Xenopus tropicalis: one gene and its partners. The protein of the gene in region 3 interacts with the protein of the main gene of each other region in a biochemical or structural test. Links are inferred from orthologs where the notes say so. Each region holds a gene or a part of one and is shown on either strand. Other genes may lie near its edges. The genes, in order: usp20, cdc7, clspn and csnk1g1.

What was found.
Region 1: of the proteins of clspn (region 3) and usp20, one has a biochemical effect on the other in vitro, tested with the Homo sapiens proteins (2 studies listed by BioGRID, with this or other methods). The link is inferred for Xenopus tropicalis from reciprocal best matches to the Homo sapiens genes CLSPN and USP20.
Region 2: of the proteins of clspn (region 3) and cdc7, one has a biochemical effect on the other in vitro, tested with the Homo sapiens proteins (3 studies listed by BioGRID, with this or other methods). The link is inferred for Xenopus tropicalis from reciprocal best matches to the Homo sapiens genes CLSPN and CDC7.
Region 4: of the proteins of clspn (region 3) and csnk1g1, one has a biochemical effect on the other in vitro, tested with the Homo sapiens proteins (2 studies listed by BioGRID). The link is inferred for Xenopus tropicalis from reciprocal best matches to the Homo sapiens genes CLSPN and CSNK1G1.

The regions. Positions count from the first base shown.
Region 1 is NC_030684.2:22,435,429-22,439,786, forward strand, and holds the start of usp20 (ubiquitin carboxyl-terminal hydrolase 20), read left to right. Parts: upstream 1-1,553; 5' UTR 1,554-1,569; coding exon 1,570-1,692; intron 1,693-4,358. Other genes in the region: uncharacterized protein C9orf78 homolog, read right to left, coding at 1,414-1,499.
Region 2 is NC_030680.2:104,898,701-104,902,266, reverse strand, and holds the end of cdc7 (cell division cycle 7-related protein kinase), read left to right. Parts: intron 1-398; coding exon 399-548; intron 549-2,615; coding exon 2,616-2,998; 3' UTR 2,999-3,104; downstream 3,105-3,566. UniProt on the Homo sapiens protein: Kinase involved in initiation of DNA replication. Phosphorylates critical substrates that regulate the G1/S phase transition and initiation of DNA replication, such as MCM proteins and CLASPIN.
Region 3 is NC_030678.2:81,833,959-81,837,972, reverse strand, and holds the start of clspn (claspin), read left to right. Parts: upstream 1-1,209; 5' UTR 1,210-1,345; coding exon 1,346-1,372; intron 1,373-1,383; exon of another isoform or gene 1,384-1,583; intron 1,584-3,328; coding exon 3,329-3,458; intron 3,459-4,014.
Region 4 is NC_030679.2:94,478,677-94,482,953, forward strand, and holds the start of csnk1g1 (casein kinase I), read left to right. Parts: upstream 1-1,436; 5' UTR 1,437-1,851; intron 1,852-4,277.

The DNA of each region.
Region 1 (4,358 bases), on a different chromosome or scaffold from region 3:
GTGGCCAGCTCCTTGTTGTAGCTCCCACCCTTCCCAGCTGCAGTCAGGTGATCCCAGTGGAGCCAATAAAAGGGCAACCATATGGGGATTTTAACCTTGAAAGCAAGAAAGTTGCAGGTAAAACTTAGTCCCTTGGCTAAATGTATATTGAAGCAGTAGAATTCTTAATGAATCGCATAAGTCAGTGTAGGAACTGGTCAAAAGGGATGACTTTGACCCAGTTGGCCAGCTTGAAGTATATTGCAATATATGGACAAACAATCCCTGTTTTGCTTAAAGGGAAGGGCATTTCTTAGTAGCTTAAATGCACTGAATGTCTTAATGTCCTATATATTGATAATGGGTGAGTGCAGAGGATCTCTTGTTGTTGTTTCTATATATATATATATGTATATGTATATGTATATGTATATGTATATATATATATATATGTATATGTATATGTATATGTATATGTATATATATATATATATATATATATATCTTTATTTATAAAGCGCTACTTATGTACGCAGTGCTGTACAGTAGAATACATTAATACAAACAGGGTATTAATAAGAGAATAATATATAATAAAATATATATATATATATATATATATATTTTTTATTTTTTTTTTTTTTTACTACAATAAAGGCTACTTTTTTAAATGATTCCCGGTGTGCACCAATATTCACTAGATTTTTTATTTTTAATGCTTAATTGGTAGCACATGGGTCTTTTGACCACGCTTAGGAGTGCTGAATCTACATATGGTGTGTGTGTGTGTGTGTGTGTGCGCGCATTCCTCGGCCCACATGTGCTTGTTAAGTAAACACATTCTTGTACCCTGTATTGACTTACCAGACCACGCAGGGCCCCCCAGAGGGCATTACCCACCCTCCCCTCACAAACCAACACCCTGCCCCTCCCTTCCAGTGTCGGACTGGCCTACCAGGAAACTCCTGGTGGGCACAGGTGTCAGTGAGCCCTCCTGCTCCTACCATTTGGCCTACTTCACGGTCATACCCTATTGCTGAATGAAAACAAAGAAGAGAAATAGATGGAAGAATAGATATTGGCATGTAAATAAAAGAGACTAGCAGAGGTTGGTTGAGAAAAAAATAATTTGGAGAGTGAGCCGAGGGTCTAATGTTTTCTGGTGGGCCCCTGGGTCCCAGCCCGACACTGCTCACTTCCCCTATCTCTGCCCACTAACGCTCAGGTAGAACAGTGATGGGGAAGGGGGTTAGTTAGTTACACCTATAGAAAAAGCAGACCCCCAAGTCTGCCCTCCCAACAATGTGTTTATGGCTAATTGGTATCCATAGTAACGCGTTCTTGGAATAAAAAAAAGGCCTGAGGTAACGTTTCACACGAATACAACTTCGAGTATCCTCACTGTTGAGTCGCAGAAATATAACGAGAACCTACCTAACCTCCTGAGTTACTTCTTCAGCCTCCGCTTCTTCATCTGACGACGAGGCTTTACGCCTCCGAAAGTTTCTTCCCCCAGGCATCTTTCTCCCCGCTGCTGAACCCGGACACTACGGAATATGTAAACTTCCGGCGCGGTCTAATGATGTAATAATGCCAGTGAGAAGCTTCCGGATCTCCGCCCTTGCCTTGGCAGTGTGGGGCGGAGTTAGGAATCAGCAGTCAACAGCTGCGGTAACAGAGGTATCTGGCATCAGGCTGGCATGGCATAGGGAGGTAGGTTTGCTCCTGCACCCCGTATCCATGTACAAGCTCCATAACTACTAGAGGATTAATGTCTGTACAGGCAGGGGTTTAGCTTAGTGTAGCGGCAGGGGCCTGGGGGCAGTGCATCATATTAACCTTGCGTGTGTGTGTGTATGTATATACACACACACACACACACACACACACCTTCTCTGGCACCCCCAGGTATTATTTCTTCTCATGGTGTGCAGCTTACTAGCAACTTGTATCTCTCTCTCAATATAAATATATATATATAGGTAAAGAATGTCGGCACTCTTAGGATTTCCACAATAAGGCAAAAAAGTAAAGTTTTTTTTCAAATGCAAGCGGTGAGATTTATTGTTTCCAACGTTTCAGTCCTTTACTAGGACTTTCGTCAGGGAGTGCAATGTCTTTGCCTTCCTGCACTCCCTGACGAAAGTCCTAGTAAAGGACTGAAACGTTGGAAACAATAAATCTCACCGCTTGCATTTGAAAAAAAACTTTACTTTTTTGCCTTATTGTGGAAATCCTAAGAGTGCCGACATTCTTTACCTATCTACAGATTTTATAGCTCTGGCACCTAGGTTTACTCTCATTTTATGGTGTGCCTCCCACTCTGGACTGTATATATATATATATATATATATATATATATATACCTTTTTAAAGGTCCCAAAAGGGACCGAAACGTCAGTTGTACATGCAATTATAATACTATAATATTTGTTTGAACCACAAGACCCTTGGTGCTGGTTGTGTTTGATTTGGTATATATATATATATATATATATATATATATATATATATATATATATATATATATATATATATATATATATATATATATATATATATATATATGGGCAGACTGGTGTATATACACAGAGAAGCGCTGGGCACAGAGAAGGGGACAGACTGGTGTATATACACAGAGAAGCGCTGGGCACAGAGAAGGGGGCAGACTGGTGTATATACACAGAGAAGGGGACAGACTGGTGTATATACACAGAGAGGTGCTGGGCACAGAGAAAGGGCAGACTGGTGTATATACACAGAGAGGCGCTGGGCACAGCGTAGGGGGCAGACTGGTGTATATACACAGAGAGGTGCTAGGCACAGAGAAGGGGGCAGACTGCTGTATATACACAGTGAGGTGCTGGGCACAGAGAAGAAATTAGGCACTAGCTTGGATTTATGTAGAGAGAAGAGGGAAGCAGCTTGATATACTCCCAGGGGCACAGGCTGTTATACACTCAGAGAAGGAAACGCTAGAGACAGACTGAGAGTGTCACAAATTAAAATATAGACAAAATTGTGATGGGAATGGCCTGGTATTTACACTGAGAGGAGGTGGGCACAACCTGGTGTATGCACAGAGGATGGTACATGCCGATAAATACACAAGAGAGGGGCACAGAGAAGAGAGGCAGACTGGTGTATATACACAGAGAGGAGGTAGGCACAAGGTTACACATAGAGAGGAGAGGGGAGCAGGTTTATATATTCTCAGGGGCACAGGCTGGTATATACACAGAGAAGGAAACGGTAGAGACAAAGACAGTGGCACAAGCTGGAATATACACAAAAACAGTGATGGGCATGGCCTGGTATATACATAGGATTTGGGCAGATTCTGGTGTATGCACAGAGAAGGGGACAAGCTGGTATTTACAGAGAAGGGCACTGGATAGTATATAATAAAGCAGAAAGGCTGGTATTTGTACTAGGTAGGCAGTTGGTAGTATATATAGAACATATGATAGTGATTGTTGTATATCCTGCACAAGTGGGCCACAGGTGTGTATATAATATATATATTGTATAAAAAGAATGGTGTCAGCTGACATACAGGCTCAAATGTAGATAATGCCGGATCAGCGGAACCATATATGGATGAAGCTGAAGGGAAAGTGACTCATGCTGTGTATAAATTGCTGACTATTTTTTGCAATTAAATTGAGATTTCTGTGAGCAGCTGGCATTGTGCTTGGTATCTACGGGTAACCAGTTGCTGATGTATGCCATCCTCTGATATAATGGCATCATGATTGCGGCCTTGTACCGCGAATGGCTGAGGCTCTCACAAGTGGTCATGTGACCCTATTATCCTCATTCAGGTCTAACTGCTGTGCTTACAGTCTGCTGCCCAGGCCTCTCCTCTCCCTCCCAAGCCAACCAAACTGCGGCCTTTTCATCACATAAAGCAGGGGTCCTCAACCTTTTTTACCCATGAGCCACATTCAAATGTAAAAAGAGTCGGGGAGCAACACAAGCATAAAAAGACTTCTGGGGGTGCCAAATATGGGCTGTAAATTGCTAATCTGGTAGCCTCTAAGTGGACTGGCAGACTATAAGAGGTTCTGTTTGTCAGTACACCTGGTTTTTATGCAGCTAAAGCTTGCCTCCAAGCCAAGAACTGGTTGGGGATCACTGACATAAAGGGTTTTTTTTTTTTTTTTTTAAATACAGGTTAATATATATTGGTAATGTTTAACATTAGTGGACTTACATCCAAAAGTCATTGTGTGCCTTTTATTCTCCCTGCTGCTCGTGTGAGGCCTTAAAGGGGACCTGTCACCCTAAGAAATAATCCCAAATTCTTTTCTATTGTATTTCTCAAGCAAAATAAACTTCACTTACACTGTATAAGTAATATAAATCTTGTTTCCTTC
Region 2 (3,566 bases), on a different chromosome or scaffold from region 3:
GAGACTTATCCAGAGCGACTTACAGCTGTAGTTGCTGCAAAAGGTGGCTCTACAAAGTACTGACTTCATGCACGCTGAAGTTTTCTGTTATTTTGTCCTGTATATCTTTAAAGTTGTAGGCATGTTCTGTAAATGAAATGGTGCAAACTCTCAAAACAATCCATTTTAATTCCAGGTTGTTAGGCAAAAAAACATGAAAAATGCCAAGGGGGGTGAATACTTTAGCAAAGCACTGTATTTATATTTATTTGTTATATCCATATATCAAGTATTTTATTAACTTTATATGTCAATGTTAGTTTTTAATATTAGACAATTCGAAAATTACCTGTTAGGGCTTCTTATACTCTGAACATTTTTTATGTATTTGCTTTTTAAGCTCACTTAATTTTTTACAGCAATTGACATGTGGTCTGCAGGCATCATCTTTCTTTCTTTACTAAGCGGAAGATATCATTTTTTTAATGCTGCGGATGATATGAATGCTTTGGCCCAGATTATGACGATTCGTGGATCTAAGGAGACAATACAAGCTTCTAAATGTTTTGGTATGTAAAATATGCCATATAATTATGACAAAAGTAAAATTCTCTAATACAAATGTTCTCTTTTTGCTTGATTGTTTGTGGGCTAACTTCACACATTACAGTATTACAGAGTGAACAATTAAAACACTTAGGAGCTGATTTACTCATGTGCGAATCTGAATCACAAAATCCGATCATTTCTGGTGATTGCAAATGTCACAAAAATTATTTTTGTTTGAATACGAAAATATCGTACATACTGCTCCGAATTACGGAAAGCCCGTCTCCTATAGACTTTATTTTAATCAAATAATTCAGAATTTTAAAACTGATTTCTTTTTTCTCTGTAGTAATAAAACACTACCTTGTAATTGATCCCAACGAAGATATAATTAACCCTTACTGGATGCAAAACAATTCTATTGGATTTAATTATTGCTTTATTGTTTTTTTTAGTAGACTTAAGGTATGGAGATCCAAATTACGGAAAGACCCCTTATCCGGAATACCCTTGGTCCTGTGCATTCTTGATAACAGGTCCTATACCTGTAATTGTAACCAATTGTACTTTGATAAATGGGCCCCTTAGAGTAATTACATAAAAATATTTTAAGGGCAGGGAAGGCTGAATTCTAAAACTTATATCTTAGGCACCCCGACCAACTAGGGCTGAGGACACAAATATACAAATTTAATTTCTTACTGCTTTACCTTACCTTCACTTATCATTTTTGCTCTTAAAATGTATTTTCTAAGAAGTTTCCAGAGAGGTCATATATCCTCAAGAAATTCTTGAAAGTATTTCACACTGATACCAGAGTAATATGTTCTCACTTGCCAGAGGAATAAGACAATAATTCCCATTATTCTGTTTGCCTTGTAATTGAGCCCTTGGCTCTCATTAGGCAATCTCTCCTAGATCAAGGAAGCACAATACAAGAAACAAGAAATTGCAGATCCTAAAAAATCGACTACTGTGCCTCTTGGGGTACCATACCCAATAGACCCCAACCACCCATTAGGCTTACCTTTCAATATTCCCTTGGTTTGGGTGCACCAATTTAAATATATTGTCACAGTGCATTTGACCTGGGCAAATATGAATATGAAGTTGCCTGCAGGGGAAAACTTTGTACGACTTCAGAATACCGAAGCAATGCAAAGGGATTTCCACCAGCGACTCCTATTATTGCCGGTGGAAAACCATTTTTAGAGGGATAGTCGCCCACAACAGCAGAAATCTATCACAGGCGACCAAACTGCTCCGTGGTTTCTTACCCTAAGAGCTAAAAGGAAAGGAAAAGTAATTGTCTGCTATATGATTGACAGTTTGGATTTTTAAATGCCTTTGTAATGGATATGATTGTGTTAATAAAAAAGGAACTTGGGTCTTGTGTTTAATTTAAATAGAACTTTTATTATACAGCTTTTTAGGTCTGGGAGACATGTTCCTTTTAATCTAGCCATTCATTTAAAGATCTTCTTTGGTGTGTGTGCAGATGTTGATTTGGCCTCCAGGACCCTTTAGGTCCTCTTCCATCTGATCGTTACACAACCCTATAGTTCCTATACAGGCCCGTTAGGAGAGGATTGTGTCAGTGGGCCCAAGGTGCTATTCATTTGATGCTTTAATTTGCCTGATAGAGTTATGGCCGCTCCCCAGATAGATATCATTTGGACAGCATATTATTGTGGCCCCATACATTTGACATTAAGCCACCAACTACATTTTAAGTGGCCAAGCTTTAATTTAATTTGATGTCTGGTTAAAATTGTTTAGATTCTGGCCTAATCTTAAGATGATTCATTGTAAGATAAGAACTTAGAATACACTACTCTTTGTCCGCACATCTGTGTTTTGAAATATTTGCCCATATTTTCCAAGTTAAATACTAGATTACTAGTACTAGATTGCATTATGTTATCTAGCTGCTTAGTTCAGTTTAGATGGTTTTATTTGTACATTGTGTACACTTGTTTGTTACAATGACATACATCTTCAACTAATTCCCACTTCACTTTTTTATGTTATATATGGTTATAAAAACCTTAATGATTAAATATCTTAAAATGTCTTTTTTATCATAGGTAAAAATTTGCTTTGTAGTAAAGAACTTCCTTCAAAGGACTTAAAAACTCTGTGTGAAGGGTTGAGAAGTGCAGTCCTTCTTCCAAATGGTGATCAACATGACATACAAAAACAAAGGGCTGCTTTACAAATGCAGATAATGGAAAATCAAGATGGATGGTTTTCACCAGAATCGTCTAATATAACTCATGCTTCTTCTATGGTTGCTAGTTGTGTGTCTGCACCTGATAATATGGATATTGAACAATCTAATCATAATGGGTGGGATAGAGTCCCAAATGAGGCTTATCATCTATTAGACAGACTTCTTGATATGAATCCAGCAACAAGAATTACGGCGGAAGAAGCTTTAATACATCCACTTTTTAAAAACATGAGGTAATGTGTTGTCACCTTCTGCTTGTACTGCCAAGAATAAGGAAAATATTTCAAATTTTTGTATTATAGGTTTATTTTTAAATTATTTAAATAAATTCTCATTTTTGTAACTGGTCTTTTCTATGATGTGTTTACATTTGGTTATGAGTCATGTAATTCTTCATACAGCAACCTGTCTACTTATCTACTAATGGTGCTCTGGGTAAATGTGTCGTATTTTTTTCTCTCTGAGACAATGCTTCCTGGTGTAAGCAAGGTTGTAGGCTGGTACACTTCTGGTAATTCTTATTGTAACTTTGAATCCAATCTTTTCTTCCTCGAGGACAGCTCCAATTCTGCCCACATCCTCTGGCCTGTTTAAAGGAGTTGTTCTCTTTTTTTGTAACTTTTTTTATTTTGAAGAGAATAATACTGAGAAAATGTTCATTCATTTTTTATTTGTAGTTTTTTTTTAGTTATTTCGTGAAATAAACTTGGCTTTTCAGCAGCGTTCTTGCTGCTAGGGTCTGAATTACCTTAGTAACCAGTGATTTGAATGAGAGACTGGTTTATGAACAGGAGAGGACCTAAAT
Region 3 (4,014 bases):
ATATTCATAAATGGTTGGGTTTTTGTTGTATTTAAAAAGTGGATTGTATAATCACTGGCTATCACCTGACAAAAGGGCACGCCCTCCAAAACATTGTATGTTCTTTTTGGCATAATAAAACTTGGGGGGTAGTCCCCTACAGGAAGCCTTTGTGTGCCAGGATTTCTATTTATTTATATATTTATACATACCAGGGAGGGCCATCTCCCTTATTGCCGAGCAGCAAGGAGAAAAATCAGAGACCTGGGTGTGCATGTAAAAATTTGGTTACTTGCAACATTTGGGGAACCCATGTGTCAGATCATCAAATACTTCATTTTTGTTCCCAGTAGTGACAGGCTTCTTAGAGTTAGTCCCCTTCAGGAAGACCTTCTGCAATTTGTTTTGGGTTATGTAAAGTTTGCTTAGTTTTGTCTGTGATCACTTGTTCTAACTCTAATGTTTTTAATTTGTATTGCCAGTAGATCTATTTTGTTTCTTTTGTAATAACTATTTATTTTCAATTTTCTAAGTCCTATTTCCATGTTTATCAAATCTAATTGATGAAGCTCTCCTTTTATCTTTGTGATTTGTTTTGTAAGTTTTTTGGATGGGGAATTTTTTTTGATGTTTGTAACTGTGCTAGTTGCTGTTCAAGGGCTGATCTTTTTTGTGTATTGTGTTTCATTTGTCTGGTAGCCATTTGGATACATAATCCTCTGATGGTCTCCCACTTAGTGGAGGCTTGGGATTTTTCCTGTTTGCGCCCCAGTGTGGCCCTGGATATCAGTGCCAAGAAAGGGTTACACATACATAACACATACATGTATTATGGCCATCCACATACAAAGAAAAAAATAAAAAGTAGTAAAACACCACTTTCAGCACTAGGCAGATACTGAAGTTCCTCTCACTTCTGGAACTGTTAATACCCAATTAAAGTGCTTCTAAATAAGAAATTAATCAGAGTTTTCTAAAATATCTAAGACTGCAAAGTTCAAGCGTCATCCTAAATAGTCTTTAAGCTTAGTTCCTCCAGGGGTATCCGCCCGACAGTTCGCTACCAACTTTTAAAGGGCATCTTTCTGGGGCACAGGGGATGAATCTTGAATCGGTGACTTTCCAAACCAGGTCTCCAGGCGGCGCAATCATTGAGTTTGGGAGGCGGAAACCAAGTTGCTGGTGCACGTTCTAAAATGAGGAAATAGATGGAGAACGAGGCTTTGAACGCATACAGAAAATAACACGTCACTGTTGTGGGTGACAGTCATTGGATGGCTTTTTTTCTGCTCAACCCACACGTACAGGGCGCGAATTCTGAGGCGGCAGCTGGGAAGATTGGCGGGAGCTGTCAGCAGATAGCACCATGGCCGCGCTTTGTGAAGAAGAGCAGGTGAGGCGAACTACTCTATATAGGCAGCACTGGTAGTCATCTTGGAATAAATACTTGGCTTCTTACCGTTTGGCTATACCTGCGTTGGATTAGACCAGTCGGGTAGAACAACAAAGGCAATCGTGTTCACTTGCACAGACTATAGATATACCTATGTATAAGGGACGGGCTGACTAAATCACCGCAAAGCTCATGAAAAAACAAAAACCAGGTGTGAAAACCAAAACGCCATCTCTGGTTTTGGGCTGCATTTAAAATTAACATTTGTCGTGCGTGTGCACCGATAATACCTGGTATATCTAATAATACGCTCTTTATGTATTTGTGTTTCTTCCGTTTTGTTTAGGATAATATAGCCGTGTCTACGAGACTTATACATGAATGTAAATGTGTTTTAGGGTTCGAGTAAGTGTTGGCAAAAAGCTTATTGGCCAGTGCCCCTCTAGGCCCCCAGCAACTGCAGGGTCTGCTCTCTTTATAGTTACTCCCTTGTTTAGATTGTTCATCTGCAGTCCTGTGCTTATGGTGCAACCCATGTGTAGGAGTGCAGGGCTGCAGGCAAATATGTTCTGCAAATTCTAAGGTTTATAACTAACTTAAGGGGCATAATCTTAATAGAGAGAAGTATAACTCATTATACTGTTTAACTTGTCTTGTGTTATTGGATGTTTACATTTCTAAATCTGGAGTCTGAGCCTATTTTAGTAAATAGAATACAATAAATGTAATAGATATTAATACAATATATGAATGTTTGGGACCTTGGGTTTCCCTGATAAGCAGGTCCTTCAGTAATTTGGATCTCTATATCTTAAGTCTACTGAAAAAAACATTTAAATATTAATTAAATCCAATAGGATTGTTTTGCCTCCAATGGGTATTATTTATGTCTTAGTTGGAATCAAGTATATTGTACTGTTCTATTTATGCAGAAAAAGGAAATCATTCTAAAGAATAGAATTATTTTCTTATAATGAAGTCTATGGGGGATAGTCTTCCTGTAATTTGGGACTTTCTGGATAATGGATTTCTGGGTAATGGATCCAATGCTTGCATTAAATTATGATGTGGTTTGTTTAATAAACAAAGCTTTTCTTGCCTTTTTAGTGCTTAAGCCTGGGAAAGGACATAATGTGTATGTCCTCAGATGCCTTAAGAATATTTAAAAAAAAAAAGATATTGAAATATTGAATTTAGTGGGCTGGTGGGGGCGGTTTGGGCTTCTGTATACTTAAAATGCCAAGGCCTATTTTAAATGCCAGTCCAGGCCTGGTCCCCAGTGACATTTGCTTGGGGCTTGCATAAGGAAATTCTATAATCTATATTTGGATCCCTTACTGACCATACTGTTTGGGAACAAGGCATAAATAGAAAGCTGTGTAAAGAATAGCTGAAAAATAACAAGTTCTACTTTTTACCTTAAGGTGGTTGTTTACCTTTTCATTAACTTTATGATGTAGAGAGTTCTAATAAATAAATAAATAAATAAATATATATATATATATATATATATATATATATTATTAATTATAATTAATTCGTATTGGAGCCAAAACAATCCTATTGGGCTTAGTGTTTATAGAATTTTTTTTTTTTTTTTTTATGTATTCTTTATTTTTTGGTTTTTCAGCAGAAATGGGGTACAGAAAGAAAGAGGGGAATGGGGTAAGGACATTTATAATGGTCTGCATTTACAATCAGCTTTTGAAGTCAGGAGATAACACAAAGTTTTTTCTATTAATTGAAACACAGTTGGAGAAAGACATTTTATAGAATTTTTTTAGCAGACTTATGGTAGGAGATCTGAATTACGGAAAGACCCCTTATCCGGAAACCGCCAGGTCCCAAGCATTCTGGATAACTGGTCCCATACCTGTAGTTTAAATGTCTTTAATGTTCAATAATTTTACCTGGTGTTTTTTATTCTAAAACCTTTAACATTATTGTTTTAAATAGTTAGTTTTGGAACCAGAAGACAGCATCAGTCTGAAGATCTTGGAGACAGATTCTGACAGTGGTCAGGGCAGCTGTGAAATGGCTTCTGCTGATGATCAGAACAAAATATTGGATTGTATAGAGGACAGAGGTGTGTTGAAATAAAGTTATGCCTTCTGAAAGCAAGAATTTCCTTTAGACACAAGTGCCCCACAGATTGTAGCAGATAAGTTTTTGATCTTGATATAGCAGTCTTGATTTATAAGCGGTGATTAAACATTTAAAGGAGAAGGAAAGGCTAAGTCACTTGGCGGTGCCAAAATGTTAGGCACCCCCCAGTGACTTTAATCGCTTACCTTGTACCCCGGGCTGGTGCCCCTGTTAGGAGAAAACCAGCCTGGGGTACCTGTAGCGAGCGTTTCCTCCTTCCATGTTCACTCTGCCAGCAAAATCCATGGGCCGGCTCATGCGCTGTAGAGTGAAAAGCTGACTTTTTTGTGCGGCTTTTCACTCTACTGCGCATGCACAAGCGCGAACATGGAAGACGAGGCGCTCGCTGCAGGTACCCTGGGCTGGTGCGGTTTTCTCCGAACAGGGGTACAAGGTAAGAGTTTAAAGTCACTTGGGGGTTCCTGACATTTTGGCACACCCAAGTGACTTCTCCTTTTAAATCACATTGCATATTACAGTTATAAAAAAGGCATCAT
Region 4 (4,277 bases), on a different chromosome or scaffold from region 3:
GTGTTTACTAAGGGGAAGTGTGAGTGCTAGTAAATTGGAAGTAGGCAGCACCTAACTGGGGATTGACACTGCAGTCTTGTCTCATGAGACTGCGACATGCCTGGCTGGGGTAAAAAAATCGGGTGATAGGCTCTGATTCCAGCAGGTACTGTTGGCAACCAGGAAAAGTGTCTGGGAGCCTCTGATAACAAGGAACCTCAATCTGCCCCTTGTCTGCACAAAAATACAGATACCCTTTAAAAAAAAAAATGGACCAAACAACTCAAGATAACTTTTGGTGAATTTTACCTATTGCTCTTCCTAAATTAGCCATTGTGTGCAAATCATGGCCCTCATTGTGTGCAAAACAGGGACCCTCAAAGTATTAAGAAAAGAGTTGCCCCCTGTTTGCACAAACTTTTTCCTTTCTGGTGAAATTGGAAGAGGCTTTGACAGGTGGTAGGTATTGTTGGCAACCAGGAAAAACTGTCTGGGAGTCTCCAGTGCCAATGTAAAAAAAAACAAAAAAAAACTAAAGATCACTGTTGGTACCCATTAAATTATTCTAAGTTAGCTCATATATTGGTCCTAAATTGTGAAAAATATTTTCCTTGTCTTGACATTAAACACTGGCTGACCTTTTTGGGCCCTGGAACTGCTGTGGTAACTGACAGGAAACCAGCACACTTTAGAGGAAACAGATGAAAAGATTACTTTTGGTCAATTTCACCCATTGTCTTCTCCTAAATCAGCTCTTGTTCTATCCCTGAATTGTGGAAAGCCCGCCCTTTGTTTGCACAAAAGTACCGGGATCCTCTGATGCCACTGTAAAACTCAAGATTGCTAAAATTCACCCATAACCCTCTCTTAAATTTGCCAATGTGTAAACAACCCGGCCCTTGGTCACAAAAATACACTGGGACAGGAAAACTAACATTTCTCAATTTCACCTGGCCCTAGCATACACAAAAACGCTCTACACTTTGGTTAACGTGGGAGAAGAGGCTCCGTTTGTGGCAGGTACAATTGGTAATCAAGAAAAACCTTTTTTTTCCCTGGCACAAGTCAGAACTCCAAGCAAAAACACAAAAGCTAATTCTGAAGAAATACTACGAGGTGGCGGGCAGCATGACAACCGACTAACACCAAAGAATGCCCTTTTTTGTTCTCAATCCCTAACAAAAGTAGGAGGCGCAAGCACATAGTGAGCTAACCCACCGCCACTCACTTGCAGCCTCTGATTGCGTGAAAGCAGAGATACGACGTCTCTGCTCGTCATTCCCACAAGGCGGCTACGTGATGCGTCACTGCGCTTCCGGGTAGTAGTGACGCCACAGTCTCGCGTGATGAGACTTGTGGCATCGGGATTTTCTGTAAGACAGGAGGCAAGAAGCTTGCAATTAACATCTATGCGGGACGTGTAAGTAGCGATTCGGGAGTGCGGGCTTTCTTAGGAAAATAAGGAGTGTCCAGTGAAAAGCGGGACTGTTGGTCAATATGTGGCATTGGCACGCTAGGGTGTATTAGTAACCGGCACGGTGGCTCAAATGGTGATTATTAGGGTTAATACTGGCTGTACTGTGGTCTCGGTGAATACAAGTGGGTTGCATAGAGATTTTGATGTAGGCATGGAAGCTTAGGGTGTTTAGTCACAGATACAGTGTGACCAGTTACAGGTATTGTAGCATCAGGGGCAGAGAAAGCCCTCACATCAACGCAACAGAGACTTTGACGGCAATTGTCATAAGGATTTTGAAGTGAAATCATCTTAATGCAAATCTATACATCTCTTTAAACCTGGAAATGTGTGGAGCTTCTGTTTGTAGTGTGCCGAATATTAGGAAAGTAGAGACTCGAGTTTTGGAAACAAAGGTAACACAAAACTGATTCATAACAGTTTATAATGTTTATAATTTATATATTGTACAACCAGAGACATACAGTAGTTTTGTCATGTATGTTATGCTTCTGTTTTGGCATTTAAGAAGTAAGCTTCTCTTTTTGTCCCAAGCGTTTAGGCTCATGGTACATAGGATGTATCAACATTTTTGCAAATTTTGGCCAGAAAATGCACATTTGACTTGTTTCGGGCTAAATTCTGCTTGTCGTTTGTGGTGACAGGAGGTTTCCACTGAAACTAACTTGCTACTAGGCAGGATTCCATACCAATTTGAGTATTTTCTGGCCAAATCCACCTGTCACCACTGTTGATAGGTAGCGTTCAATAAAACTTTTAACAAGCCCCTTGTGGGATTTGTCCATCAGTTAAATGCGTGTCATACCATTGTCTCTTAGAAGCCATAAGGGCTCTGACACATGGGGAGATTAGTCGCCCGTGATAAGGGAGATTTGTCGCGGGCAACTAATCTCCCCGTGTGCCAATAAGAAGTATTTTGCTAATTGGAATTTACAGATAATGTGTAAGTTTGGCATAGGTTATCCTGCACCTAGCATTCACTGGGACTCACATCAACACTGCAAACTTGATCCTGTAACCTATAGCAACCAATAAAATCTTTGCTTTAGTTTTGTACAACAAGTTACTGCCCAGGTGCAAATTATTATTTATATAGCGCCATCCTTTCCAACAGCACTTTACAGAGTAAGAGATGCAAATAAAAGAGACAAGTTACATATATAGACAAAATTTACTATTGCCCATTGTTAGAAGGCTGCAGGGAAAGGCTCTGCTCGCGAGAGCTGAGACTCTAAAAGGGGTGAAAGAAGTAAGACATACGATGAGGTTAAGCAGTACGGTTGTAGAGTTCTTTAGCTGGTATAGTAATGGTAAGTGCATAGTGAAAGGTGGTAACCATTGACCAGTTTGTGTGCTTGTGAAAAGTAAGGGGGATATGGGAATGATCAAGTTGCTGAGTGCTTAAGTTATAGGTGTGAATTTAAAGGTGGCTTATAATTGATTATCTTTAAGCCTGGAGGCTTTGACCGTGATTAGTTGGAAGGTGTTTCAGAGGGTGGGTGCAACACATGAAAGTCCTGGATGCAGGAATTAGTTGGAGTAATAAGCGTGAGAGAAGGTCATGTGAAAACCTGATGTTACATCTCGTGGTTTATTTGGTAGTTGTTTGGCGGCTCAACATTGTTGAGGGCTTGAAAAGTACAAGAATCTTGATGTAAATTCTTTGTATGACCGATATGGCCAGTGTTGGTAAATGAGCCCCACAGCCCTGTATACCTGGTTTTATAGGTGTCATCTTGCATAAATTTGGACTGAGCAGGTTTTTTTCGCAGGCGCTATGCAGGGTTTAGTATCTGGTCACATTAGTTTGACATAATTTCTTATTTCCACTGGAGGTGAACCCCTGTTAAGGAAAACAATTCTCTTTTGTTAAAAAAAAATGCTGGCTGTGAGTGATATGCCACCTGCACTATGAGGGAGCTCCCGGTAGTGGCAGCCATGTTGGGACACAAGCATGCAAATGAGGCTTAGTGTCCCAGCTTGCTTATTATTTGCTTGTAAGTGACAGCACATGCATAATGAGCGATTTGGGAGACCCATTTAGCACCCAGAGTTTTAAACATATAATTAGCAGAACATGGTATAAAAATAATTACATGTTCTGCAGGAATTGGTGATTGTTACTGCAATTTATTCCTTGATTGAACAGTGTTCATATCACAGTTGCACCCAGTTATGCTTGATTTGCCAAATTTGAATATTGTTTTTTTTGCCAAGTAAATTGGTCATTGCAAAGGCCTATTAAAACGCCACTATGCAAATCTAGATTTTGCTATTAATGTTGATTGTTAAATTTTTCTGGGTTGGAAACCAGGGTTGGTATACACATGCACATATTGATACTGTTTGCTCATGTTAGTAACCTACCTGAAATACCTGTCTTTTTTAAATATGACCATGAGAATGGATTATTTTTTGTGTTCTGTTATAAGAAGTAAAAAAAAAAAAAAAATGTGGCCCCGGCACTGAATATAATTAGCTTTTGATTTAATTGATAGTGCTGCTTTACTGTTTCCAGCGTGCAGTAGACCTCAACCTTGGATTACACTAAATCAGTGATTTTCAGTTCAATCCATACTTTGAAGGCTAAAATCTGTAACTGATTGCTTTCAGCCAAATCTAGTTATACAACCCATTATTTTAGTAGTTCCTATGTTGTGGCACTTTAATACTCCTGACAGCCTAAAGTGTAGGGCAGTTAAGGTATCCATACCTGTGACAGCCTAAATAGCAAGAAGATAGAGAAGCTGTTCTGTATACCCTACTTAATCTTGTATTGTACCATATCTGACAGTTTATGGCGGTAAGGCTTTCAAACATG